Regions from separate parts of the Mus musculus genome. Here regions 2, 3, 4, 5, 6 and 7 are each reported to be linked to region 1. The links are microRNA targets in miRTarBase. Many come from high-throughput screens and were not tested one by one. Region 1 holds a microRNA gene; each other region holds the end of a gene's coding sequence.
The links. Region 1 holds the annotated microRNA mmu-miR-3473c (UCUCUCCAGCCCCCAUAAUAAG, at 1,185-1,206, opposite strand). A microRNA usually pairs through its seed, bases 2 to 8, with sites in the 3' UTR of a target mRNA and lowers its output. Matches are read on the target gene's strand: a 7mer-m8 pairs with bases 2 to 8, a 7mer-A1 pairs with bases 2 to 7 and ends in A, and an 8mer does both.

Region 1 (4,078 bases):
TATCAGGTAACACTACAGATCCTCCAAGTCAGTTAAATCCACGGCCACTTTCAAGAACAGTGTGTCGTCTTTAATGTAGGTGTTCTTGGAGTTCTCCAGAGTAGAGTGCGACACAAAGCGGGGACAGCCAGAGGCAATGTTCATCTCGCCATCTGGCCTTTTGAAGCTGCTGCTGTTGGGGTCAGCTTTGAAGGTCTCCACAATATGGTTCTTCTTGCCGCTCTGGTCCAAAAGCATCAGGGTCACCCTCTGCCTGAACGGCCACTGCAGCAGCGAGTCAAACTCACCGCGCATCACCACAAAGTACAGGGACAGGTGCGTTCCCTTCCCCGACCCGTCCCCGTTCAGGTACGCCCTGGCACAGAGCCGGTAGCCGCAGCGGCTGGTGTAGAAAGGCTGGCTGAAGACGGACACTGTGTGCCCCTCCACGGCCTCCCTCTTCTTCACCCTGTAATCTGTCACCTTCCAGATGAGCTTGCCACTGTAGCAGGCGCCCTCCAGCTGCTTAAACCGCTCTTCGTTCTTATTCAGCTGTGCTTTGTGGATATTAATGTGTGCGTCGTGCTTGCTGGTCTCCCCCTCTAAAAGAACTGGAAGGAAACACAGGACAGGAGGCTGCAGCTCGGGCCTGTCATCTGAGCACTACCTGTGAACTACTACATGCATTGCTAACATTAACTCAATCGTGGTAAGCTGACGCCAAGCAGACATGGATGTATCCTCCCTCTTCACTCTCAGCTTGCCTGAGTATAAGACACATTGGACATTCACCTCGAGTGAATTCTCATGCTGAGCCTTGTGCCCGTCTAACTGTGTGTGTTTGTGTGTGTGTGCATGCATGCACACGAGTGTGCTTGTGATGTAAGTGTCTGTGCATACTTGCATGTGTTTGGCTGTGAGGTGCTTGTGGCATACAGAGGCCAGAGGTTGATACTGAGTGTCTTCCCCAGTAGTATTTCAGTCTTTTGATGTAGTTCTCTCACTGAATTAAACCCTGATATTCTGGCTAGCTTGTCCTGGAGATCCTGTGTCAGCCTCCAGAGTGCTAGGACCACAGGTAGCCCTCCAGTCCACTCAGCAATCACATGGCTACAAGGATCCAAATTCTAGGTCATGTGTGCAGCAAGTGTGTTATCTACTGAGCCATCTCCCCAACTCCTATAATGAATTTTACATTTAAAAGACTTATTATGGGGGCTGGAGAGATGGCTCAGCAGTTAAGAGCACTGACTGCTCTTCTAGAGGCCCTGAGTTCAAATCCCAGGAACCACATGGTGGCTCACAACCATCTGTAATCAGATCTGATTCCCTCTTCTGGTGTGTCTGAAGAGAGCAACAGTGTACTCACATACATAAAACAAATAAATAAATATCTTTATAAAGTCTTATTATTATTGTTATTGTTGTTACTGTTGGTGGTGCGTGCGTGCGTGCGTGCGTGCGTGCGTGCGTGTGTGTGTGTGTGTGTGTGTGTGTGTAAGTGAAGGCATGTACACCATAGTATACATGTGAAGGTCATAGAACAACTTTCAATAGTTGGTTCTTTCTCTCCACTGTGTGGGTTCCAGAGATCAAACTCTGGGTGTTATAGTTTCAATGAGTTGTGTGTCCTAAGTCCTAAGCATTGGAATACTTGGTCCCCAGTTGGTGGGTTGTTTGGGGAGGATTAGGAGGTGTGGTCTTATTGGAGGAGGTGTGGTCTTGTTGGAGGTGTGGTCTTGTTGGAGGAGGTGTGGTCTTGCTGGAGGAGGTGTGGTCTTGTTGGAGGAGGTGTGGTCTTGTTGGAGGAAGTGTGGTCTAGTTGGAGGAGGTGTGGTCTTGTTGGAGGAGGTGTGTCACTGGGCTTGGGGTTTCAGCAGCTGCTCCAGTGCCATGCCTGCCTGCCTGCTGTTTCTCTATGAGATGGTGGTAAATTCTTATTTCTCTGCAATCATAAGCCCAAATAACACTTCCTCCTACAAGTTACCTTGGTCATGGTGCTTTGTCACAGCAACAGAGAAGCCACTGATACACTGGTCATCTCGATTGCATAGCAAATCACCTGCTAAGCAATCTCACTGGCCCCAGTGCACCAAAGCCTAAGACACCCATCACCTCTCTCCCTTGTTCTTAATGATTACCACTCCCAGCTCTTGGGACTGCCTGGGCCATTTCAGTCTCGTCTGACTCCACACACATGGTGGAGACCCTCATTTTCTGAGGCAGCTAGAATCTCATGCTGCTTCACAAACAGGATTCAGCCACTGGGCAACCCAGAAAGCTGGTTGTGACTTGTTAGCTTCTACCACAAATGCACACAGACAGGGAAGCCATGAGAGGGAACCCGACTGCTTCATACACACACACACACACACACACACACACACACACACACACGTACCTAATCTCTGGTCACTGGCTTCCAGCTGGGTGATCCTCTGTTTCACGCTGTCAACCGCATCCACCAAAGACCTCAGATCAAGTCGACTTGGCTGCTGGTTAACTATTTGTAGCAGCTGCCGCACCTGCGCTTCCAGCCAAGCTGACTTGTCCGTGTGACTGGTGAGAGCCTTGCGGTACAAAAAAGAGAATATGTCTTGGAAACGAGACATCGGATTTGTAGCGTGTTGACTGAATTTTAACACAAACATTTCACATAGAATGATCCACTCATGAAATGGAAGTGGCAGTGTCCAGAGAGGGGGTTCAGTGGACATGGCAGAGTCAGCAGCTGCCATCTTCTTCTTCCTTTCCAGGCTGGACTCCTCTGGTGAATTTCTGAGCTTTCCCCGATGTGTCTAAAGTCTCCCCTCCATGTATTCACATGCACTTTGTGGCCCTCTTGCCTTAGCCTTGCTTCCCTCAGAAGAAAGTTTCCTTTCTGTAAGGAGGTCAAGATTGGGCAGGAGCAGGCAGAGCCTACACACTCTATGGATCTTTCACATGGAGGATATTAATCTGTCTGCCTTGCCCATATAGTCTTAATTCCACCCTATTGCTCTCTGTTTAGGAAAATGTCAGAACTAATAGTGTGATAGGTTCCTTTTTTTTTCCTAGACATACTAACACATACATATACATATGTGCACACACATCTGCACATACGTGCCCAGCACATGTAGAACAGGTGCATACATGTATGTATATATGTATATGCTGTGGTGAAGAAGAATAAAGCTTCTATGGCCTAGATTTCCTGGAACAATACACATTTCAAACACATTGCCCATGTTATATGTCTTTAAATCACTACAAATCTGGTCATGAGAGAACTTTTATTTGTTAGGGGTCCATTTGTGGTTAGTTAACATTCAGGATTCATCGAGTGATGTTTAAGGCATGCCCTTCCCAAAGGGAATTAATGATTTTACACACATACCATGGAAGTATGGTATAAACGTTGCATTTACCAGCATGGGTATAGATATACTCATGTACGAGACAGTGTTACTGTCAGCTGCAGAGGGCCACACACATGCGGTATTCTCTCTGGTGGTCCTTGGCCACACCCAGAAGAGACAAGGGTGCCAGAAACAGAGCAAATGGGACGAAGTGCTGAATGGGATGTGGGAGAGCTGCACTGGTGCCCCTGGCATCACCCACGTCTGGTGGCTTTTCTATGCATTTGAAATGGTTTTCATGTTAAAAGCTAAGAAGAAAACCCCTTGCTGCTCACTAAAAGCTGATCATAGCTTTGAATGGAAAAAGCCATATCTCACCCGGATGTTCTTTCTTTTCTTTAAAAGATTTATAGTTAGGCTCATTCATCTTATTTGATGTGAATGTTTTGCCTGCATGTATGTCTGTGAACTTCATATGTGCTTGGTGTCCGCAAAGGTCAAAGTTGGGTATTGGATCCCTGGAACTGGAGTTATGGATGGTTGTGAACTCCCTACCATGTATGTGCTGGGAATTGAACCTAGGTCCGCTGCAGGAGCAGCGAGTGCTCTTAACTGCTGAGCTATCTCTCCAGCCCTTCTCTTCTTATTCTTCTTCTTTTTTTAAAAAGATTTTATTTATTTATTATATATAAGTACACTGTAGCTGTCTTCAGACACACCAGAAGAGAGCATCAGATCTCATTACAGATGGTTGTGGG
Region 2 (4,000 bases), not on the chromosome of region 1:
GGATACAGGAAATGGAACCACTTCTGCCTACAGTAATTTCCCAGACAAGCTCTTCATTCCTGTCACTCCATGCCCGTTCCTGCTCCCCAACATAGCATCCTTGAGGTAGAACTGCCCATGCTGTTGCCTCTGCAGTACAGTTTGGGGTGTCAGGGATTGGTGTTTGCGGGAGGCTTCTAGAAGAGCCCATTGAGCCCAGGTAGGCTGTTTTCTAGATCCCCTGGTTTTCCTACCTCTGAGCTGCTTTGTCATCCAGGCCAAACCACCCACTCTTACCTGCCCACTAGTCTTTTAGGGTTCTGAGGATAAGCTGTGTTATGTACCCTGCATAGCCTCAAGCTAATGACGCCCAAAGTGTTGGGATTACAAGCCTACACTAGTATTCCAGCTCCATTCTTGATTGGTTTCCTCAATTGGGGAACTATAGAGACAGCTGAGCTCCAGAGTCACCAGGATAGTCATTCTTAGTGAATAGAGTGATCAGGGTCTCCCCAGGCCTTCATCCCACTGGCAAATATGACTCCTGGCCATCAGCTTGCCCTAGTCCTCAGCCAAGGACACTGGCCTGTTGCATTCTTCCTCCCAAGCAGCTGTTGATATTCATCCCATTCTCTATCTATCTCTGTCTTGGCCTCTCTCCTCTCCAGGCTTCCTGCCCAAAGGCCTCCAAAGGTGTCTCACTGGCCTTGTTATAAAATCCCAACTCTGGAAGGCTGAGGGTGTGACTCGGTTGCAGACCTAGCATGTGAGAAGCCCCGAGTTTAAGCTCGAGCGTTCTATAAAGTAGGCACGGTGGTACATGCCTGTAACCCCAGCACTCAGGAGGGTTAGAAGTTCAGGGCCATCCCTGGTTTCACAGGGAACTTGATGCCAACCTGAGCTACATAAGACATTGTCTCATAATAAGGGGCAGGGTCAAACTCTGGAGTCTCTAAACAGCCACGGAAGGAGGAACTTTGGGGATAGGTGTGCACGTATGCACACACAGATGTGCAGGTGTGGTATATGGGGTCAGGAGGTGGGGCAGGGAGTTAGGATCTGAACTCCTTGGTCTCTATGCTGCTCTGGACTTTCCACCCAGCAACTGTGTGGCAGAAAGGGGCATTTTATGTACACATCCCTTGTTCTTTTTTCATTTCTAAATCCTTTTTTAAAATTAGGCTTGGGTGCCGGGTAGAAGGCAGTAAAAGACAAAAAAGTGAAGTCTCAGAAGAGCACGAAGAAGACAAAGGTTTAACTTGAAGTTAGGAAACAGAGCCCAAGGCCAGGTGGTGGTGGTGCACACCTTAATCCTAGCACTTGGGAGGCAGAAGCAGGCAGATTTCTGAGTTCAAGGCCGGTCTGGTCTACAGAGTGAGTTCCAGGACAGCCAGGACTGCACAGAAAAACCCTGTCTCGAAAAACAAAACAAAACAGAAGAAAAAGCCGGGCGTGGTGGCGTGCGTGCCTTTAATCCCAGCACTCGGGGGGGGGGGGGGCGGGGGGGGGGCAGAGGCAGGCGGATTTCTGAGTTTGAGGCCAACCTGGTCTACAAAGTGAGGTCCAGGACAGCCAGAGCTACACAGAGAAACCCTGTCTTAAAAGACAGAAGAAAAAGAAAGAAAAAAAAAAAGAAAGAAACATCTCTCCAACCCCTGAAGATTTTTTAATTGTGTGTGTGTTCATGTGGGTACAAGGGCCTGAAGCAGAACCCTAGCCAGGCTAACCTGGGACTCACTAATTAGCTCAGGCTGGCCTCATAGGGAACCACCTGCCAAGTAAGTGCTGGGATCATAGATGTGCCGCCACCGCCACCACCAGGTCGGTAGATGACTTTCTAGCACATTTGGTGCACACATCTATAGTCCCAGCACTCGGGAGTCAGAAGCATCTGGATGGAGAGTCATGAGTTCAAAGCCAGCCTGAGCTACACAGTGAGATTGCCTCAAAAAAACAAAAAAGCAAGAGCCAGGATGTAGCTCAGTGGTAGACCTTTCCTCAGGGCCTTGGTTATATCCGCACTGCCACAAAAATCAATCAGAAAACTAGGGTTTCTGAGTATGTGTGATACAGAAGTAAGTTCATTGGCCAAGCCCCCCACCTCAAATAAACTTTGAAGGTTGAATTTAGTAACAATGTAAGTTGGAAATCCTGGGGCAGGGGAAGTGGGGAAACCCAGATTGTCTGTTTGCTTTTGTTTTTGTGTGGGGGTGGGGGTGTCTCAATATGTAGCTCATGCTGACTTCCAAATTGAAGCAATCCTCCTGCCTCAACATCCTGAATACCGCATGGTATGTAAAAAGTCTGAATCTTATAGGTGTCAGTCTCCGTGGAAACAAGGGTGAAGATCTCAACAGAAAAGGGGTGGGGGGTGGGGGTGGAGGAGAGCTTGGCTGTCTTGGAGCACACTCTGTAGACTAGGCTGGCCTGTAACAAACAGATCCACCTGACTCTGCCTCCAATGCTAGATAGCATTAAAGGCACACTCTGTAGACCAGGCTGGCCTGTAACAAACAGAGATCCACCTGACTCTGCCTCCAGTGCTAAATAGGATTAAAGGCGTGCACCACCACCTGGCTGAAATTTTAATTTTCTAATTCAGGTACACGGTAGATGTTTTAAGCACATACTTAGATCACACACACACAAAAACAAAAACCAAACCTAATGTATATGATGGTTCACCAAACCCCCGGTTATCCTTCACTAACAGGACAGGTAGCAACCCCTTCCTCTCACCTTCCTCAAGGCCCTACCCGAACCCTGCCTGTCTCTCCACTCCCTACTCTACCTGGCTCACTATTCCACTGAAGGTGACTAACCCCAACCAGGTCTAGACCTCAGCATCTCCGCAAGTCTGTAAAAGAGTTACATTTTATTATCGCTGCAGACAAGGTGCTTCGGTCCCACGATGAGTATATGCCAAGGGCGGGGAAAATCGTGCATCCTGCTCCCGACAGTTTTTGTAGCACCTTGAGCTAGGTTTCAGAAGGTCCGGGTACTTAGAGGGTCTTTGCAGCAAGTCCTCTTTTTGTATGATCATCAGTGATTTACCCCTGCGCTGCTTGCCTGGCTCCTGGGGGGCGGGGGGAGGGGCAGTTAGTTGCACTCCAGCAGCTCAGCTAGGTGGGGCGTGCGTATGCTCTCCAAGTCCAGTAGATGGAAAGTGGTCAGCAGTAGCAACATCAGCGGTAAAAAAATACCCCAACAGCCACCCGTGGGTTTCAAACACTGAACTGCTGGTTGGCCGCCCTTCCCCACAGTACTAGACTTAGGCCAGGCCGCCATCCGGCTCCGCCTGGCCCAACAGATCCTCTGCTAGACTAGTGAGTTCGTTCTCCTCCAGCGCCTCCACCAGGCGCTGCAGTGTGGCACGGCGGCCCTCGGCTTGCATGAAACGGCGCAGCAGCTGGAAGGCCTGCTCGTATAGCCCATCACGCTCATACTCGTAGGCCAGCGAGTCGAGGGCAGGATCTCTCAGTGCCCGACAGTTACGCTGCAGCGAGCGCCCCACCCTGCGCCACTTGAGACCCACCGAGCGCGCAAACGTCTGCTGGTCTTGAAGAGTCAGTGGCCGGTTCACTGCAGAAGAAGTGAGCAAGAGGTGAGTGAGCACCGGTTCCCTGGAGCCCGCACCCTTCCGCACCTGCCTTCGGATACCTGGGCCCAGCCCTGCTCAGATCGACCTGCTGGTGACCCCCCGCTTCTGCTGATGAACCTCACCTACGAGCTGCCCGTGGAACAGAAAAGTCTGGCAGGCGGCCGGCAGTGGTTTCTCCTCGGTCGGAGAGGAAACCGGGAACTTCGAACCTGCAGAAGCTACCTGTATGGCTCCACCCTGGCCAGTGCAGTCACACGTCAGTTTGCAGAGCTCATCCTCCAGCTCCGCGAGTTCCTCGTCCCTGAGCCGGTCGGGCTGCACGAAGGGGTGCACAGTCAGTGCGGCTTTGGGCCGCGAATCCCCGCCCATCCCATCCTAACTACGGACGGCAGCACCTTCTGGGCTAAGATGTAATTCAAA
Region 3 (4,078 bases), not on the chromosome of region 1:
GGACACTCACCGGTGTGTGTGGGTGGCTGGATGGGTGTTGTGGAGAGCTCGAGCCGTCGCCGTAAATGAAGAGGCATTAGTCCCCAAACCTACTCTTTTCTGTCCTTTGCAGCTTAGGAGTTAATCCTGGTAACATGTTCTTAAATGTCAAGCTGCCAGAAACATCCCTGCAGAGGCTCACTGGTTTTGCTACAATGTAGCCAGAAGCATTAGTCTGATGAATTCATCTATCACTTCAGGCAGTCTCAAAGTTCACCACTCACTGTGCTGAAAGACTTTATATAAATCATACCTGTCCCATTGACCCTGCTTAGAATGAACTCGGCACCTGCCAGTCTTCTTCTGTCCGAGACACTACAGCCACTCGGCTCACAGGGAGGACAGTACTCCTGAGCACAGCACTACAGCCACTCGGCTCACAGGGAGGACAGTACTCCTGAGTAGGCTCACCCAGACTTTGGCTACAACGTGAGCATATGCTTCTGAGCTCTTTGGAGCTGTGGTGAACCTGGGACTCTCCCCATCTAGAAACAGGACCTACTTCTAACACTGCTCTTGGAGGCAAGCTCCTGAACTCTGATCTTACTGTGGGGTTTACCAGGATCTAGATCCAGCCAGGTCTCTTCCTTTCTGGACAGTACAGATCTTGGTGATCTAACCTTTCACTCCCCTGAACTGTGTTCCTTTCATAGCAGGTCTGTATACTCACTAGCTTACTCCATCCCTAGGACCTGTTAACTCCAGCACCTGGAGGCAGAAGCAGGGAGACCAACAGTTTACAATCATCCTTGGCTACTTAGCGTATTTGAGGCCAGCCTGTGCTATATAAGACCTTGTCATAAAATACACAGACATGTACACTCTGTATTTTAAATAAACGATAGTCATTTAACAGCATTCAGGGTTCTACTTCTCTGCAAACAACCAGGAAATATTTTACACTCTAATGTTCAAAGTGAGCAAGATAACTTTTATAAATATGTTCAAAGCATCAAAAAGGAAATGAAAATGGCTTGTTTTTTGATGCTGGTGGTAAATTAGGCTTTGGTTCTAAATTTGATTCCTTCAAATATCAGCAATCAAAATCAGTTTTAATGTTCGATTTAGGAAGAGATCAACCCTAAGAGAAAGGCAGCAGCAGACTCCAGCGCAATCGCATTTTAAAATGGCTACTGAAAAGTAGGCTCCTGTTCGCTTCTGTGGGACAAACACAAATCAGAAGAGAACTCGAAGATTAGCTAACGCGTATGTAAAGCTCCTGAACCAGTTAGGTCCACACTGTGACCTTACAGTCAGTCAGAGGGCAGAGACTTTCCAAACACTCAGCTAAAATTCTTTTTCTACTCTGGTGTTGAATGGATTATACAGTTATCTTAAACAAGTGCTTTAGAAAGAGAGGTGTGTGTGTGTGTGTGTGTGTGTGTGTGTGTGTGTGTGTGTGTGTGTGTGTGTGTGATGGAGTTTAGAAGAGGGTTAGATTGCCTGAAGCTAAAGTTGCAGGTGGCTGTGAGCTGCCTAATGTGGGTGCTGGGAACTGAACTTGGGTCCTCCGCAAGAGTAGCAAGTGCTCTTAACTCCTGAACACCCCTCCTGCCCCACTGACCGTGTACCTGCCTACCAGTCTGTCTCTGAGTATTAAACATCTCTAACCGGCTTAATTCCAACATGCCTGAGGAAAGGGCAAGAGGGATTTTCAAAAATGGCTAGGATACTGTGATTTTTTCAATTATTCATAAAGCTAGGGAGACAAAAGAACAAGCCAGCAGCAGTCAACATTTGCAGAACTCTAGGACAGAGTCCAGTGTGGATTTTATCAACATAACCACCAGAAATGCACATTTTCTACCCTGAAGCTTTTACTGGAAACATGGAAAGCTATTTCCCACACAGGCAAGCAGGCGTGCTCTGTCACTAGGAGAACCACAGGGGCAGCTCCTGGAGTTCGCACGTGTAAAATGTCTGAAAGCATTCCACCTCACTAGGTTCCTTACACAGAGTGCTTCCCATAAATATTTTAAATTGTTTTGCACGTAAGAACAGGCTAAAAATGATTTTACACTTCAGAAACTGTTACTTTAATAACTTGGCTAAATGTTTTAATCTCATGTGAGTCCTCTATTCCGCACTTGGGAGAACTTTTCTTACCTGTTGAAGTCCTTTTCTGAAGAAACTACTCAACTCCTAACCTGCAGCCAGCTCCTGAGAATGACACCCCAGTACATCTAGGGCCCTGTGAAGGCTCCAAGTCCTGCATTAAAAGTGGTCACTGGCATCAATATTTATCATATGCCAACAGGATGCGTGGCCATAAGCATCAACACTGCTTTCCCATCTGCAAAGTAATGATGGATGTCCTTTTGGAAGCACCCCATCACCTCTGTACTCATCCATAAACAGCCACTTCTATAAAGAAAGACTGCCTAAGATGCCCCAGTGGTGGGAGGGTGGCATTTCTTAAGGGGAACTGTCGTTCATTCTTTTTTTTTTTTTTACGATCTCTCCTTGAATGTGCACCACAAGCCCATTCACAGTGCTGTTAGGAAGCTGCTGAGCCAATACTCTGCTTTCTCTGACAACTCTGCCACTGGTGTTCAGAGATGCCAACTCAGCAAGGATTCCCGGGGGGGGGGGGGGGGGGGGGACAAGAATAAGTCAAAGGTGAGACAGGGCGTAACAGCAGACAAGTTCTCAAAGACAAAGACAGAGATGAAGAGAGACAAAGACTTCCACTGCCATTCTGGTTTTAAACTCTTTCTTTACCCACTTATTCTAAATAAAAAGGGAAGACTTAAGACATTAGATATTTACAATATGGGTTCTATACAATAGTATCAGGCTGGTTGTGAGGTCAGATTCTCTTATGAGACTATGGCACGGTTCTTGCATGAAGGAAAGGAAAAATGATGATTTCTAACTATCAGCAAGAGATCTTACTGTTTGGGGAGCAAAATCCTAACAGAGACACAGCAGCAGGGTCCGTAGGCCCTTGTGCTTTTCCAGCCTCTGTACCAGCAGCGCTGCCTCCTTTCTTCGTCCCCTCTCTAGAGCTGCAGTGTGTGTCAGGCAAAGCCCGGCGTTACCTCGCTCTGCATCCTGAAGGACAGAGTTCAGATATATAGTTCCTAAAGTAAGGCACTTAAGTTGGGGGCTGCTTTACAGTTCCATTCCATTTATACTGTACCCCAAGAATGCTATCTGCATAAGCCGGAAGCCATAACATTTACTTCTTTTTGATTCTACCCAACCAAAAGCTCATGAGACTATCGAAAGGCTAGCTTCAAAGAACTATTTCAAGTGTGCATGGCTTTCTCCTTTCACAGTAGAAAACGTTCCACATTGAAACAGGCAAGACACTATTCTTCCTTTTATTAACTTGCCCAGTTACCAGGAAGATGCAGATTAACTTTCTCAGTCACCAGAGAGACTCAGACCGTTGACAACACACACCCCTTTCTGATTCTGAGAGTCTTCTGCAAAGGCTACTGCTTCAGACAGACTGTAGAAGAGAAGGGTTTCCTCTTCCTTTTTGCAATATTCTCCTCTGGCCAAGGAATCCCTCACAGAAGGATTGCACTGCGCCAGTAAAACCTGGATCCCAACGGCTTCATAATCCCGGCGAACTTCTTTCAGTGTGTGGATTCCTGCTGTGTCTAAAAACTGTATGGCACTACAGTCGATCACGATAGTGTGCACCTCCAAGGGATCATGGGAAAGCTGCATTGAAACTTCATCCGGGTCCCCACGAAAGGTCACCATTTCTTCTTTGAGTTTTCTCTTTGCTGCCTTTTTCCAAGCTGCCTTTACCAAGACTGGGTTAAGAGCTTTCTTGTACAAAGCTGATTTAAAGCACTCTTTGTTTATGTAGTAGAGAGGGGCTATGAAGCGGAAAACCTTGATGCCGGACTTGCTCCGAAGGTTCTTGTAAGTGGAAATGGATTCAAAGGTTTCAGATTCTTCTTCTAAACCAAGCAGTGAATTCTTTGGCTTCTGAGTACGGAGGATCACACAGAACATTGAAAAACAAACCCCAACCAGCAGGCCTATTTCAGTGCTTAACAGAGCGGAGGACAGCATAGTC
Region 4 (4,078 bases), not on the chromosome of region 1:
GCAAGGTGTGCACAATGTAGCCTCATAGAGGTCACGACCCACAGATTGAGAACTCCTGCTCTAGCGTTTCTATACTGGGTGGAGTTGGCCTTCTTCTTGCCTTCCCACCCCACCCAACTCTACCTCACCCAAGTTTCTCCAAGCTTGTGGATGCCCCACCCAGGTTTTTCAGAAAAAAAAAAAAAAACAAAATCTATAAGAGTTAGCAGCAAGCCAGAGCTCATTACCAGGAATTCAGAAGACATGCCCTGGAGCAGAGATGGTTGGCTGGTGTTACTTGCACTTAGAGGTACAGTCCAAGGGCACAGAGAAATGGACTCAGGGTACATACAGAGATGCCTCTTAAGAGGTAAATGAAGACTTAGGCGGTAACACACAGAGAAAGCCAAAGATGAAGAAAACTAGAGATTCAGACAGCCCAACATTGTGAGAGAAAAACAGGCCCACAAGGAGCCCTGAGAAACACAGGGCTGTGTGCACCCTGTGTGCACAGACACAGGGCCAGGTATCCAAACAGCTCATGTTTCAGGGAGCTGATTTCACTGGTGCAAATCATCGGCTTTAAGAAACATGGCTCCAGCCAGGCAGTGGTAGCACACACCTTTAATCCCAGCACTCTGGAGGCAGCGACAGGCAGATCTATATGAGTTCCAGGACAGTCTTGTCTATAGAGTGAGTTCCAGGAGCTAAATAGAGAAGCCCTGTCTCGAAAAATGAAGCGGGGGGGGGGGGGACGGGACCAGACAGACAGAGAGAAGAAAACTGGCTCTTTAAAATGGTTGTGGTGAGGGCTTGGTACAGACACATAAAAAGCCCTTGGCAAGCCCTGGGACAAAGCAGCCACACCGTGGGACAATTCCCTCCCCCCTCCTCCGGCTTCCCTGAAAATAAATTCTGTGAAATGGAGAAGCTTTCTTATAGGAAGTAAGGAATTTTCCTTCCAGAATTTGGTAATAGTCACGACTTTGCCTATTCCAAGTGGAGGATTAAAGGGGAACTCCTTATCTGGAGGAGTCCCAGAGTGGCTGCCTAGCTCATGTTCCGTCCTCCACCCCACACACTCGTGGCTCCCTCTGTCTTGCCTTTCTTATACCAATTCCTTACTACCCAACCCAAGAGCCTCGTAGGGTCAGGACACAGCGGGGCAAGCCACCACCCCACTTCCTCACTCCCCTTTCAGTAAATCCACACTTGTGGATGGATCTGAGACGAAAGGTGCTCGTTAAATCCAATGGTCTTTACAAAACAGCTCCCCACCTCCACTCCTTCTTTCCTGCCCCATCCTGGTTCTGCAGGTAAAGCCATCATGAGCCCCCATTTATTATTTGTTTCCTGGTCACTGCTTAGCTCACTTACATTCTGAATTACATTTACTGTCGCGCGTGTATGTATATGTATCAGCAGGCCAGAGTGCAAGTGTGGCGTTCAGAGGACAACTTTCTGGAGAATTGGTTCTTTCTTCTAGTCTTTGGGTTCCAGAGATCAGACTTAGCTTGCCAGACTGGACGGCAGGTGCCATTACCCACTGAGGCATCTCGCCAGCCTACGTTAAGCCCTTTCTATGAATCATCTCTGCCTATTTACCATTTTTATTAACCCGAGTGTCACAGATAAAGAAACTAAGGTCCAGAGAAGGCACACAAACACACCTAGTAGCTGTGATGGACACTACCCTATAGTGATGGCATCTCAAGCTTCCTGCTCCCCATTGGCTGAAAAGAAGGATGCTGAGGCAGGGTCTTGGATGGGGGCCAAGGGGGAACTGGTGTGGCTGAATGAAACTGCTTGGTACACTGAAGGAAACTTCACAGGCACCTTCTGCTCTCAAGGTTAACGTTCTTCCCCCTCGGGGTCTGGGAAAGGGACACTCCCTCTGGCTCAGGTCTCTCCAGCATTCCAGAGATGCCTCTTGGAAGTTGGGAATAAGGAAAGGGTGGAGATCCACGAAGGAATTGTCTTGTCCCAGGGACTCCTTTCACAACCCTAGTTCTGTGGCCTGAACTTGCAGGTCACCCTTTCTGGGCATGGGTCTCATCTGTGAAGGGGCTACTGAGCAAGAGCCTTAAGGGCATAATTATGCAGGCCGGGGATCTCCTGGCTCCTACAGGGTTAACGCTGCAGAAAGGTTTCCCTTATATTCCTGGTGAAATTTAAGTCAGATGTATTAAGGAAGCTGGAAATGAGGCGCACTTCCTGGGCTCAGGTGTGCCAGGCTAGTCACATAACCCTTGCCTTACTGGGCACGGACATGTCCCAGAAGGCAACAGGAGAGGTTCTTGATCCAGGCAAGTGGCTTTTAGGTTGGAAGATGAAGAATAGGAGTAACCCATTTCCTAGAAGAGGGATAGGAAAGAGAGAAAGTAGCCAGGAGTGAAGGGAGACCGTTGTGACAGGGTGGGTAAGGACAGCTACAAGAGAACCCGATGCAGATGGACTGTGGAGATGTGGTGAGGACCATGGAAAGAGACCTATCCACAGGAAGATACCCTGAGGAACCTGTGTGGACTGACTCCTTGGAGGGAGGCTGATAAGAGTGCCACAGCCAAGAGTCTGGATGGAGATTTAGCAACTCTAGAGGACAATACAGGTCCCCAGTCTGACTGGCCTCTTTGAGCCATAGGCTTAGCCTCTCCAGTCTCTGGGTGGCTCTGCCTACCAGAGGGGCTCCAAACTTCCTCCTTGTGGAAGGGGATGAGACAGGAGGATTCGGAAGATGCTCCATTGGATGGAATCTGAGACCACTGAATACAAGCTAAGATTAGACTCTGAACTAAACATCTGGAAATTTATGGCCAAATAAAACCAACGCTCGAATGCTATTCCCAGAAAAACAAGACTCTGGTGTGGTGGCACATGCTTTTAATGTCAGCAGGGGGGTATCCATGAGTTCAAGGCCAGCCTGGTATACAGAGTCCCAGGATAGCCAGGACTAGAGACCCTGTTTGAAAACAAAAAACACACACAAAAAGAAGTTCCTGTAGCATGTATACGTTTTATTCTTTTTTATATATAAAAGGCAACAGTACATTGTTGATTGGAGGATTAAAGAAAGGAAACCCCTTTTAAAAAGTGGAGTTTCCCACCCCTATTCCTAGGGCTGTAACATATATGTATGTATATATTTATATATTTAAAAAACAAATTATGAAACTTACGACCTGGACTTCAGCCCCTCCCAATGTCTATCTTATAACAGAAACATATTACACAGCCCCCAGTCAAGGGTCATAGCTCCAGATGTGAGCTACACCCTTCTTATCCCTTCCCCCTCCCCAAGCCTAGAAGTCCATTTCAAAAAAAAAAAAAAAAACAGTAGGCACACGCATACTTAGAAACTCACTTCTGGGTCCACCTCCACATGGAGGAGTCCCTGAAGCATGCACACTCTGGCACATTCCTGACTCACTTTCTCCCTTCCCCTGGGCTCCCTTCCCCTGAGCTGCTACAGTTTGTTTTGAAAACTTGGTCCCTTGCCTTTGCATCATTCAGCTTAGAAAACAGCACACATGTACACATTCATTCTCTCTCTCTCTCTCTCTCTCTCTCTCTCTCTCTCTCTCTCTCCATCTTATTTGCTATCCTACCTTGGCTTAAAGGTGGGTGGGAACCTAATGCCCTAATGGGCAGAGTTCATAGAAATTCTGGAGGGCCCATCCAGCAGGGGTGGACACAGGGAGCGGTTTAGCCCGAGAGAGGCATCACAAAGGGCTTTCGGGGACTGGTCCCCACACAGTCAGTGGACACTCAGGAGAGTGCACAGTGGGGGAGGGGGGCTGCTGCCCACTCAGATCTGCTCCTTGTGTTTCATGTGGGCCAGCTTCACATTCTCTTCCTCGGTGGAGGGTGGGGGCTGCTCCAGGTGGCAACCAATCATGAGCTGGTACACGAAGACACCAGCGATGGAACCCAGGAGTGGGGAGACAATGGGTACCCACCACCAGTGCCGGCCAGTCCTGGAGGGAGAACACCGGAAATCAGAGACAGGTCGGCAGGAAGAGGGGAGGCAAGCTGGGGAGTGGGGACTGTACTCACGTGAAGACTTCTGAGCCCCAGCCAGCCAGGGCGGTGAAGAGGCGAG
Region 5 (4,078 bases), not on the chromosome of region 1:
CCTTATAAAAATCACCAGTCTTGGTGGCTTTTAACTTCTTCCCTAAAACTTTAAGAAATAATATTTAGGTGGAAAAAGCAAACTCCAAAAGTTCAACTCAGCATTCAAGTCTTTAAAGATGTCTGTCTGAGCTTAAACTAGGTTCAGGCACTTTCAGTGTGTTTTGTTTGTTTCCTCATTAGTTTTAAACCACATCATATACTAATAACACGGGTGTGCTCAGAGAGCAAGCGGGCAAGTGGGAACACTCACTGCCCCCTTCTCTCTCTCCTCTCTCTCATACACACACACACACACACACACACACACACACACACACTCACACACTCACTAAACAAGGAAAAGCAGTGTGTCACTTAGCTCCATGTAGTCTATTTGGAAATCAGGCAGCAGAGACGCCGTGCCCGCTTCATCTGTATAAAACCACTCCCAAGACACTAAAAGGGACAGCGACTCCCACACAACAGAGGCATCCCTTAACTGTAAAGGAGGCAGGTTCTAAACTACTGGCTTGGCAGTGAACCACTTCAAATTATAAAAAGGTATTTATTTTTATTAATTAATAAATAAATACTAGATGATCTCAATTGTACCAAAACAGGATATCAGAAAAAAAGACCTGTGCAAAAATACTTATTTAAATATGTACAATTCATTTTTAACAAAATATGTCTTCTGAAATAGGGATACTTCCATATTTATAATAGAACAAGAAATTCCAAAATAAAGATACAAAAGTAGGTTTTTTTATAATTCTTTGTTCATCATTGCAGCACTTTTATTTTATTTTTTATTTTTTATTTTATTTTTTGTAGTTTAAGAAAACTGCAGAAGCTGTTATGAATTCTATTGGAAAGAATATAAAAAATTATGGTGGTTTTAAATTGACACCGAACGAAGTCTGTCTAGAAATAACCCAAGCACTGCAAATTTGTTTTTTGCAAGTTAAGATTAAATTCAAAAAAATATTTGTACTCCCATATTTTAAATGGTCTTAATTGTTCATCATCATAAAAAGTAGTTGTCAGAGAAAATAAAATATTTGAACAGTCTAAACTTTAGTAGCACTGTTTAGAATATGTCTGTTTGTGGCAGGCAAAATCCAAAAAATGGCTTTTCCTAATCCGGAGGCTCTGTGTGTTTCCTGGAGATATAATGAAGTTCAATTAAAGTCCCAGTCTAAGGAATCAAATTATAACACTCATTAACCTAAGTATCTACTTTATTCTGAATAAACTTCCTATTGTGGCTCCTATTCACATCTTTTGGAACATCTGTCTATAAATTCCATCATTAAAAGCAACTTTGTTTATAACCATCAAGTCCCGGCTCTGAAAATAAATCTTCCCCATACCCCATTGCACTTGTCATCGAGTAATGACTGTGTGAGCTTGGATTCCCTCTCCTCCTTGCCCAGCACTAGGAGAGACAACCAGATGAGCCTCCTAACTTCCACACTGGCCCATCTGGGCTCTCTCCTCAGAGCTGCTCTAGTATCATCTTTAAAACAAACATTCACTGACTGACTGCATAATAAGTGAATAAGATTTTGTTTTCCCTTCCTTAAAAAATTCAACATTTCCATTAATTTACAGTTAAAGTATCTGCATAAAGTCTTTGTGTTCTTACATAATAAGAGTAAATGTAGCAATTCACATTATTAGGCTGGTAACCAAGTATGTATTCATTCTACCTGCTGTTGACTGAAATTCCCTGAATCTCAAGTTTGTAATCTAAGAACTGTAGAGAAAGGCTATGCCCAGACACTGGCCAGGACAGGGCTAGGAGCCTTGGGGGCTGTCCTGTAGGCCACTCTGCTGTACTCTTCCTAAGCCCGAGGACTCGGTCCTCTGAGCAGGAGGTGTTACAGTGGCCGGCCCTAAATCATGCCCAAGTTCACTGGCAGACGTCTTTTCAAGCAATGTGTTAACACATTAAACATTCTTTGGGAGTGGGGCACTGAGAAATCTTAAGGAGGGCGTTAAGCCTCACTAAAGGAAGACAGATGGCTGTCACTGTCACAACAGAGAAGGGTGAGCACTAGTAAACACCCCCCCTTCTGCGAGCTGCTTCTCTCCGTGGCACGCACCCTTTCTCGGGGATCCCCACCTCAGCCCACCTGCATTCAAACAACCAGCGACTGGACTGGCAGGAAGCCGGGACAGACACACGGCAGGCAGCAGGCCTGGAAGCACAGACTCACACTTACTTCTTCAAACACTAAGTCAAAGAGGAAGTGGGAGTAATGCCTTGGAAATTTTAAGGACATGATAATAACTTTTAAAAAGGCAAATCTCAAAAAGCAGACCGAGTAAGACAATGACCCAATCTGACACACTGATCAACACAATCACAGCAGCGAGACAAGTCAGGCTCTTTGGAAATCCTACAAATTTTGCCTCACTTGAAAATTTTCTCACCTCCCTGAATCCAGTGTCCCAGTTGGCTTTTCATCACCAACTGCTTTCCTTGTCTCTCTTTCCATTTTTCTTTTCTTCATTCTTCCTTTTTCTTTCTCTCTTTCTATCACACATGCTTTTGTACCATAAAAACTAAGCTTCTGAGATCCTTTAAACTTAATATCCAGGCGTCAGCAGCTTCGAGCCAGTCCTCACGTCTGAAGAACTTGATAAGCTTCTCATCCCAAATTAACTGAAAAGGTGCGGGGCTACTATGTCATGACGCACTGACCAACAAACATCTCAGTGTACTATTCCTCAACAGCGCTATAAAACTCTAAAGCCAGGTATCCTCTAGGAGGCTCTCAGGATGCAGCTCACTCCCCTTTCCTTGGAGGCCTTCAGTCTCCAGTTAAGGTGCCTACCTTCTGGAGCCTGACTGACAGATGGCAAAGAAAAAGGAAGGCAAGGCTACAGAAATGATCCTCCCCAGCCAATCTACTTCAAGAGTGACTCCATGATATGCTCCAAATGAAAAAACAAAACAAAACACAATACAAACACAAACTTCTCACGGATTGGGAGCAAGCAGTCCAGACCACTTTAACACTGAGAGCAATCCGGTGGCTGAGGTGATCCAGTGTTCTTTACCTGTACTCACTGCTACAGACACAGCTTCGGGAAATCCTTGTCAAACAGCCAGAGGTTACCCTGAAGGCCCACAGGAGTTAGAAAAAGAGACTCAAAGGCATCGTGGAGTCCAGAGTGCTGAGCAGAGGCGTAGCTTGTCTTCAAAAATGTCTGGATTATTCCTTCCAGTGGTACTGTCAGCTGTCAGGGTCGTGCCTTTGGCTTTCAAAACAGAGGGATGAGGAGATACATAAGTAAGTGGCTGGATGCAGTGCTCCCGACTCTACACCAGGGTATCATCCCGTACCTAAGCTCCCTGACCTGCTGGGGTCGGGGAAAGCCATTACAGGACCAGCCTGAAGCTTTGTTTTTCAAAAAACAAAAACAAAACCAAAAACAAACGGGCAACAAGAGGCCGCTGTGTGGAGGTCTAGCCCTCCGGTTTCCTTCTAATCTAAGGTGGAATTTTTTGTTTGTTTTCATTTTTTAAACTTGTGTCCTTGAAGGTATTCTAGGCTGTTAATTCAGAAAACTCGATGTGCTAACACACAGGTCTGGAGGTCTAAACCCAAGGCACTGCTTACAGCATAGGGAGAGAACTCTGGCCTTCCCACGGGGTAATTTAAAATCTAGAAGCCAAGCAAGAACGGATTTGCAGGCCAGGGAGGGGCTACACACTGCTATGTTGTGGGCTCTGTACTTCACTTCTCTGTTCAGAGACTAGCCAATCCAAGCACAAGTATCCTCCACAAGAGATAGCAAACTTGTGATTTCTACTTCTCTACAAAAAGTGTTTATTTTGTTTTCTGACAGGGTCTCTCTGTGTAGCCCTGAGAGACCTGCTTGCTTCTGTCTCTAGAATGCTGGGATTTAATACATGTGCCATCATGCCGTTTTAGGGATAGCATTCTTTAAAGTACTTTTAAGTCATGAGTTCTGAGATTTGTATGCAGCTGTAAGATTCCTCCCACTGACAGATAAAGTTGAAAAACAGCTTGTAAGGTTCACATATGTCCTCTGATTGGAAGCCACAGGGTTCCTAGGATTTG
Region 6 (4,078 bases), not on the chromosome of region 1:
ACCTGAAGGCTTATTGAGATTTACTTATTTTGTGGACCTTTTGTACTTGCTAGGCAAGCATCTACCACTAACTCACATCCTCAACCCATGCCTAAAGTGGAAAGTTCTGGTTTCTTTGGCGGCTCAGTTGTGTCATGTGATGTTTTTCTGGAAACTGTCTTATGTGGAAGGGTTTTGCCGAGGACATGTGGTGTTTTTCTGGAAGCTGACTGGGAAAAGGGCATGTGTTTTGCTAGAGCAGATACTTAAGAGGACACATGTCACTCGGGAGGCAGAGGCAGGCGGATTTCTGAGTTTGAGGCCAGCCTGGTCTACAAAGTGAGTTCCAGGACAGGCAGGGCTACACAGAGAAACCCATGTTTGGAAAGGGTAGAAATAACCCAACAGGCCACAGATGACTGTGTGGCATTGGCTCACCTTGCCACTCTTTGCTGGTCTTTATTGGGCTTTGCTGATGCTGGTCTTCACTGACCATGTTGAGGCATTGGTTAGCCTTGCCTTCTTTGCTGACCATTGTTTGTTATGAGTTTGTAGAAACACACCAAAGAACTTCTGGTAATTCTTGCCGCATTCCATGGACTCAGGGTGATTGGCAGAGCCTCATGGTTTCTTCTGGATCAAACTGTCATTGTTGATTCATGAATGGTGTTTGTGAGTGGATCGAGCTCCTGCTGCTGCTGCTGCTCCCTATGAACTGAACTGGCAATATCCTGATAATGAAGAATGGAATTGCCCAAAAGAACGATTGATTTCTTTTGCTTTCGGGTTTTTTTTTTTTTTTTTTTTTTTTTTTGGTTTTCAAGACAGGGTTTCTCTGTGTAGCCCTGGCTGTCCTGGAACTCACTCTGTAGACCAGGCTGGTCTAGAACTCAGAAATCCGCCTGCCTCTGCCTCCCAAGTGCTGGGATTAGAGGTGTGCGCCACCACCGCCTGGCAAGAACTATTTCTAAACAGGCCCACGTCCCTCCTTTGCCCTGTTAACCTTTCCTCTCCCTCTAGTGGTGGTGGGCTAGAAGGGAGGTTAAAGTGTGTAAGAAACCTTATTAAAGTAAGTTTTGAAAAATCTAAGCCTGAGAAACTTATTTTCAGTCCAGTGCCACAAGATCAAGACTCAGCTGGGTTTGTAGCTCACTTGTGAGATTCGTAATTCCAAACGTGAGGTTTTGGATTCAATCTCCAGCACCAAACCAATCAAACCAATCAAACAAAACAAAACAAAAAACCCAAGACACTAGGTGATGATGACCCACACCTTTTAATTCTAGCACTTGGGAGGCAGAGGCAGGTGGAGCTCTGAGCTCAAGGTCAGCCTAGTGTACAGAGTTCCAGGACAGCCAGGGGGATACAGAGAAACCCTGTATTGGAAAACCAAAATAAATAAATAGATTTATTAAAATCTGTTCTGTTTGTGTTTTCTAATGGTGACTGAGCTTGTAGCCCTGGACATGTAATGAAAAATCAAACACACAATCTGTACTTCTTGGATAATCATTAAATCTGTCTGTGTTCTGTGAAACCTATATAAATAAAGAGGCACCTGATTGCTAGTCAGTCAAGAGCTGTGAACCACATGGACCACCCATGCCTGACTCCCTCCCTCCTCTCCCCCACTCCTCTCCTGTGCAGGCTGCCCTGCTGCCCCCAGCAGGTTCTCTCCTTCCACCATGTGGGTTCTGGGGAGCAAACTCAAGATGTCAGGCTTGTCAGTAGGTGCCCGTGGAACCCTCTGTTCAGCCCAAAACCTGGGTTTTTTTCCGTGAGTGCTAGGATCTGAACTCAGGTCTTCATGTTTGAGCACTGAGTACTCTTACTCACTGAGACATTGTTCCAATGAGGGAAAACCAGGGGCTCGCACACTGCTCTGTTCTAAGTATTTATAGAATAAATCAAAGTGCCATCTAACATTATGCATACTGCCAGAAATTAGGAAATAATTTAAGCTAATATTATGTGACCCAAAGCCTTTCAAAAAGTGGACATAAACCTGACATGTCAATATGTGCTTGTAATCCTAGTATTACACAGGCTGAGGAAGGAGGATCCTGAGTTTGTGGCCAGTCTGGGCTATATAGTAAGACGAGATCTCGACAAACCAAGACAGAGAACCAAGCAGTAGCAGCAGGTCAGACTCTGAGACATAAAGTAACTCACCTGAGGGTCCTCAGCAGCAGCAGGGCCTGCCCGAGTCCAGGATAGCACTCTCCATGTCAAGTCTCTGATACCAGCTCACTCTTCTCCCATTGATGTAACTGGCTGGGAAAGGAACACACTCATCTCCTGCAGCTCAGCTCTCCTGCAGCTCAGCTCTGCATCTCCACAGCACTCACTCAAGCCAGTCTACTGTCAGTTTAGATTTCAGGGCAGAGTTTATTAACAACCTTAAATTTCCCTTCACCTCCATTCTACTATCTACCCCTCTACCTCTACCAAGTGTGGGTGAAGAAAGCAGTACGGTCCCATTGTAGCTCCTCTGCAGACTTCACCACGTGTGGTTTCAACCCTGAGTTCCTCTAAGCAGGGCGATCTGCTCAGAGAGCAAATGCCACCCTGAGAGCTTTGTAGGTCACCTGCCATCTCCTGAGTTCGTGGGTCATATCTGTCATTGTGATCATAAGCAAGTTATCAGTGGTAGTGAAAGGCGGACAAGGTGAAGGCTGCTGAGGGAATACACTCTACTATGGACTTTCAGAATAGAATATGAAATGCTCAGTTTGCTAAAGTGCTCAAGTACTATTTTTACCCCTAAAGATAGGGTCTCACCATGTGTAGCCCTGGCTGGCCTTGAACTTAGAAGAGATCCACCTGCCTCTGCCTCCTCTGTGTTGTAATTAAATGTGTGCACCACACTTGTTGCATGTTCAAATACATTTTTCTTAAATGTATGAATGCTCTGTCTGCATGTATGCCTGCATGCCAGAAGAGGGCATCAGATCCATTTTAGATGGTTGTGAGCCACCATGTGGTTGCTGGGAATTGAACTCAGGACTTCTAGAAGAGCAGAGTGCTTTTAATAACTGAGCCATCTCTCCAGCCCCACTCAAGTATTTTTAAAAGGATATTTGGGAAAGGTGTATACTGGTGAGAACCTAAAAAGCATCTGGAAAATGACAGAAAGTACAGAAACAGAATACTGCTAACAGGGAGGGAGAAGCCGCTCAGACCTTAGTCTGGCAATTACTTGAGCTCTGAATCAAATGCATTCCTAGTTGGAGACCAGCTCCCTCTCCCCCCCATGAAGATGAAGTTAAGAGTTACTGGGTGACTATGCCCCAACTCCTCTCTCATTAATCTGAGCTCAGCAGTTCCTTCACTGGCTATCAATACAAAAAGGGCCATTTAGGTTAAGTGACCAGAAGCATGATTTTCTAAAGTCTGTCTAAACCTGGACTACCAGGGTGAGACCCATACCCAAGAGTAAGGGGTTCATGACAATATATATAATCTCTTGGAATGATTATACAATCCAGGACTGAGGTGGTGAAGGTAAGAGTCCAGCAGCAGCAGGGGCTATCTTGTCCTAGAAATCACTAGAGAGCACCAGTAGTCATTTGTAAGTCCAGTGGTAAGTGGGCCAGCCCTGGCCCTTGCATAAGTCCCGGTGGCGAAGGAAGAAGGCCTGGACACGGAATCGACGGCCACAATGGGGACACGCATGCAGAGCTCTCGCATGGGTCTTCATGTGCTCTGTTAGATGATGCTTCAACTTGAAACGTTTATTACAGATGCCACATCCAAAAGGGCGAAGGCTGAACGTCAACATGATGTGTCGGTCTCGTTTCGGCTTTACTGCAAACCGTTTTCCACACAAGCAAGCAAAGCACTTCCCATCTGCAGGGGGTGTCCCTCCTAGCTTCACAGGCCCATGCATAGCCTGCCCTGTTCCTCCAGGTCCTCCATCCCCTGACAGGATTTCATTCCCATGAAGATCCACTGGTTTCCACGATGGATCTCCTGCCCCAGACGATTCCCCTCCTCCTGAGGACAGCAAGTATCTCAGCTCCTCCTTCTCCTCAGAGTCCTCTCCAGATAGTACTTTGGTCTTTTCCTTTGTGCCTCTTGCTATCTCCTCCTTACACTC
Region 7 (4,078 bases), not on the chromosome of region 1:
TGTTGAATACTATCTCTTACTGCATCTGCCTGGAGCTAGTGATTGGCAAGGCTAGCTGGCCAGTTGTCTCCACGGATACACTTGTCTCTGTCCCCCCTCAACACAATGCTGAAGTTATACATGCACCCCTCCACACAGGGCTTTTACATGGGTGCTAGTGATCCAAACTCAGATCCCCGTGACCACAGGAGAGGCAATTCACTGACTGAGCCATGTTCCTGGCCCAAATGTTTGCTCTTCATATGTTATTCTACTCTGTACCCCTACCTTATGCATCTTCATCATCTGTGTGTGTGTGAGTGTGAGTGTGTGAGTGAGTGTGAGTGTGTATGTGAGTGTGTGTGTGAGTGTGAGTGTGTGTGTGTGAGTGTGTGTGTGTGTGAGTGTGAGTGAGTGTGTGTGTGTGTGTGTGTGTGTGTGTGTGTGTGTGTGTTTTGAAATAGGGTTTCTCTGTGTAGGCCTGGCAGTCCTGGAATTCACTTAGTAGACCAGGCTAGCTTTAATCATAGAGGTTGTCTCTGCTTCTACCTCCTGACTGCTGAGAATAACACTACCTGGCTTCATCCTAACTCTTTATTCCTTCCGTACCTTCCACATTTACTTTTGAGTTTTAATGACTACATTGGACTTTCTAGAAGAAACTAAAAGCAGTTAATTACTTAATCATTATAATGATTTCTTCATCAGACTTTAAAATCCACAAATTCTTTTTCTTGTTATCTAAGTTTTTCTATGTAAATAATTTATTATATGTTTAAGCTCTGGGATTTCTAGTCTCTTTTCATCCAGACATGTAGTGTAGTTTGTAAGTTTCCATCTGCCTGCTAAAGTATCTGACCTTAATCAATGCTATCTTCACAAACTGTTGATCTCTGGTTTGTATGGGTGGCATCAACATTTAGAGTCTTCCATCATTGTCATTCTTTTTTGTTTGTGCTGCTTTGTGTCTCTGTTGCCATGCCAGCTCACCCAAACAGTTATCTTTGATTATTCTCTGGATGTTATACTTGAAAAGCAGATTGTAATAATGGTCTGAGGCTTCAGGTTACCTCCCCTACCCTGGACAGACATGAATTTAGTTTGTATCTGCAGGCACCCACAGAAAGCAGATCTAAATCTAGGGTTGGAAACTGGGTTTGTCCAAAGACTGCAGAACAGCTGTGAGCTTTTGATGCATACTCTGGGGCTCATGCAAAAGCAGAGGAGGAAAATGGGAGTCCTACACTTGGAAGGACAAATTGTTTCCCTTTGCCTTAAGAGTGATACAATCTCCGTTCTCATTACCTCCTCTGGACTGGCAAATGCTGCTGAGAACAGTGGATGGATTTGCCCCTGAATTTGCAGTTTCTCTTGAATCTTGCAGTAATTCCTCCTATCTTATAGCATCTCATTACTGACTGCTTGCTTTCTTGATGTTATAGTTGTCCTAGGGGTTGGTTTCACACACACACACACACACACACACACACACACATACACACACACACATGCTATATACACACACATATATAAATACTTGCTATATATATATTATATATATTATATATATTCATAGGGATATATACATATTTACATATGTTTACATAATAGCTGAATTAAAATCTAGTCTATGATCTGTGACTTAAAAATATGTTTGACCTTTAACAACTTACTTCTAGTTTCCTCTCAGACAAAATGGAGTTGAGCAGAGTTGCTTAGACACTTGGAATTCAGTTTCTGGATGATGAACACCATGTAGGATGAAAACAGTGGGTTTTGCTGGAGGAATGTGTGAGTTACCTTGTCATTGCCATGACAAGCACCTTAGATAGTAACCAGCCTATGAAGAGCAAAGAAGGACTTGGTCTCAATCTCAGACTCCTGTCGGTGATGACTTGGGCTGGGAGGGATGGCAATGGCAAGGAGCAGAAAGTAAACCCAAATAGCTCATGTGGAGACAGAACAGAAGAAAGAAGGGACTGGGCCATACATCCCCTCCAGGAACACATCTCATAATGATGGCTTTTCTTGAGTCCCTCCCTACCTCCACACCTCTTAAAAGACTCACCATTTCCCAGTAACACTATATTGGGGCAAAACTATTAAGACATGGGCCTCTGGGGAACATTCCATTTTCAAACTAAATGAAGTAACACGAAGGAGGGGCTGCAGAGACCATGCCTGCTGCTTTTGTACTACAGCTAGGATAACCTGGATACAGTAAGCACTGGTATTCAGTCTGGGAATAGGGCAAAAGGGAAAAAAGTTTCCTGGTATTCTGTGAAAGGTCTTTGCTTCAACCAGTTGAGTCTTCACCACATCTGTATTGTCAGGCCAGTTATCTTAGTGAATGTAGCCTTAACTTGCCTGAGACCAGGGAGAAAGAGGATGGACATCATCTGCCTTACAAATTCTAAAAAATCTTAGGTTTGTTACAATCTACCAATCTTGAGGAATTTTGAAGAGTAGAATCTCAAGACCCATCCAAAGGAGTGCATCGGACAAAGGGTCATATCAACCCAAGAGTCCCCATCCCAAATTCCTTCACATTGCACAAAGCCATCTTATCACCATAGCTACCTGAGTAATGGGGGTCAAGAGGCTTTATCAAGAAATCCAGAGTAGCTGATTAATGAGAACACTAACTGTACAGGGCAGAATCATGGAGAAGGTATGTCTTCACAAGAAGGAGATCCTTCAGTTGTATTTGTTCCTATGGCATATCTGCTTTTAACCCTGGTTTCAACAGCCAGAGATGCCTTCTATTGTGGCTTCCAAAACTCTGTAAAAGAAATAGCATTGTTTCATTTCACAAATCACAAAAGAACATAGACAGTAATTGTTACTTTGGATCCATTAATTTTATTAGTGCTTTATTACTTTTGGTTTTCTTTCTTCCCCTTCCTTCCTTCCTTCCTTCCTTCCTTCCTTCCTTCCTTCCCCCCTTCCTCCGTCCCTCCCTCCCCTCCCCCTCTTTCTTTCTTTCTTTCTTTCTTTCTTTCTTTCTTTCTTTCTTTCTTTCTTTCTCTCTCTCTCTCTCTCTCTCTCTCTCTCTCTCTCTCTCTCCTTCTTTCTTCTTGTCTTACTCTAGTTTTAGACTGAGAAAAAACTGATTTAGGAAAAGCTACATATTTTCATGCCTGTCAGTACTGTAGGTCAATTGTACAGGTTACCTTATGGTCAGAAAACTATATCTATTTTGTCCTTTGGACTTTAAACATGACATTGTTGACAGTGACAACAGCATTTTTTTTTCAGTGTAAAAACAAAATAGACACACCCATGCCAAAAGACATGGATATAAAAAGCCAATGGAGTTGTGCTCTTTCTTACAAAATAAAGTCAAGTTTGATTCTGATAGAGGTTTTATGGTCAAGGGCAAGTGAAAATAATCACTATTAAAATCTCAGGTAATGAAACTCTAAGCTCTGCCTTGTATCTCTAAAGTCTCCTTCTTCTATGGGGAACAAACCCTGCCAAGGAAGAGCACATGAGCCGTGGGATTGTGCCGAATGAAGAAAAGGAATGGATGGTCCACCGTGAATTCCATGGGCATCAGGCAGCATCCAACAACAGTGCCTGGCATGGCAGCATCTGTCTCTGTTCCCTCCTCATTCACTTCCACATAGGACTTGTGAACAATTTTTGATATGAAAAGATCTCTGGATCCCGACATGCCAGAGAGATCAGCTTTGCTGCTGCTAAAGAGATCCTGCACTCCCAGTTGGCCCAGGTTAGAGTTGAGGATGTAGCTCTCTTCCATCTTGAATTTGGGCAATTTGACACAGACATCAATGTTTTGTAAGTTCTCACATTCTTGCAGTTTTTCCAAAGTTAATTGTTTCTCAATCTGGAATTAATGTAAGGCAGAAAGCAGTTAATTTATTACTGTAATGAGGTACTATTCCAATGAACTGACTCATAATTGCCACATCTCAAAGGTTTTATTCATGTGTTCTACTCAAACAGGTTCCACATAGATTTAATTTTATATGTCCGCTGATGGAATATAGCACCATTATTTTCCATGTCTTTGAGGGTTCAAGTACATTTTTTAAAAACAATACATCTATCATCTATTTATCCACATATCTGTTTA

Region 2: the mRNA of Tradd is a reported target of mmu-miR-3473c. Seed matches in the 3' UTR shown: 7mer-m8 at 3,122-3,128.
Region 3: miRTarBase lists Slc26a2 as a target of mmu-miR-3473c. Seed matches in the 3' UTR shown: 7mer-A1 at 2,496-2,502.
Region 4: miRTarBase lists Aqp3 as a target of mmu-miR-3473c. Seed matches in the 3' UTR shown: 8mer at 3,559-3,566.
Region 5: the mRNA of Atxn7 is a reported target of mmu-miR-3473c. Seed matches in the 3' UTR shown: 7mer-A1 at 2,072-2,078, 7mer-A1 at 1,473-1,479 and 7mer-A1 at 265-271.
Region 6: the mRNA of Zbtb9 is a reported target of mmu-miR-3473c. Seed matches in the 3' UTR shown: 8mer at 3,023-3,030.
Region 7: miRTarBase lists Serpinb1c as a target of mmu-miR-3473c. Seed matches in the 3' UTR shown: 7mer-A1 at 3,040-3,046.

The regions. Positions count from the first base shown.
Region 1 is chr1:191,997,418-192,001,495 of GRCm38, forward strand. Mir3473c (microRNA 3473c) reads right to left here and starts at 1,217; the gene lies at 1,137-1,217. It overlaps Traf5 (TNF receptor-associated factor 5), which reads right to left. Exons shown (of 14, transcript NM_011633.2): 13 at 2,381-2,551; 14 at 1-590. The coding sequence ends at 13.
Region 2 is chr8:105,255,735-105,259,734 of GRCm38, forward strand. It overlaps Tradd (TNFRSF1A-associated via death domain), which reads right to left. Exons shown (of 5, transcript NM_001033161.2): 3 at 3,976-4,000; 4 at 3,703-3,895; 5 at 2,841-3,561. The coding sequence ends at 3,251. Among named protein-coding and RNA genes, the nearest start is that of B3gnt9, 2.6 kb to the left of the region's middle.
Region 3 is chr18:61,194,730-61,198,807 of GRCm38, forward strand. Slc26a2 (solute carrier family 26 (sulfate transporter), member 2) reads right to left here. Exons shown (of 4, transcript NM_007885.2): 4 at 2,125-4,078. The coding sequence ends at 3,409. Among named protein-coding and RNA genes, the nearest start is that of Gm52353, 7.0 kb to the right of the region's middle.
Region 4 is chr4:41,089,750-41,093,827 of GRCm38, forward strand. It overlaps Aqp3 (aquaporin 3), which reads right to left. Exons shown (of 6, transcript NM_016689.2): 5 at 4,033-4,078; 6 at 2,975-3,953. The coding sequence ends at 3,785. Among named protein-coding and RNA genes, the nearest start is that of Aqp3, 6.4 kb to the right of the region's middle.
Region 5 is chr14:14,102,480-14,106,557 of GRCm38, reverse strand. Atxn7 (ataxin 7) reads right to left here. Exons shown (of 12, transcript NM_139227.4): 12 at 1-3,251. The coding sequence ends at 3,234. Among named protein-coding and RNA genes, the nearest start is that of Psmd6, 16 kb to the left of the region's middle.
Region 6 is chr17:26,974,469-26,978,546 of GRCm38, reverse strand. It overlaps Zbtb9 (zinc finger and BTB domain containing 9), which reads right to left. Exons shown (of 2, transcript NM_001005916.2): 2 at 2,344-4,078. The coding sequence ends at 3,545. Among named protein-coding and RNA genes, the nearest start is that of Zbtb9, 3.3 kb to the right of the region's middle.
Region 7 is chr13:32,878,397-32,882,474 of GRCm38, forward strand. Serpinb1c (serine (or cysteine) peptidase inhibitor, clade B, member 1c) reads right to left here. Exons shown (of 7, transcript NM_173051.2): 7 at 3,001-3,829. The coding sequence ends at 3,437. Among named protein-coding and RNA genes, the nearest start is that of Gm35899, 15 kb to the left of the region's middle.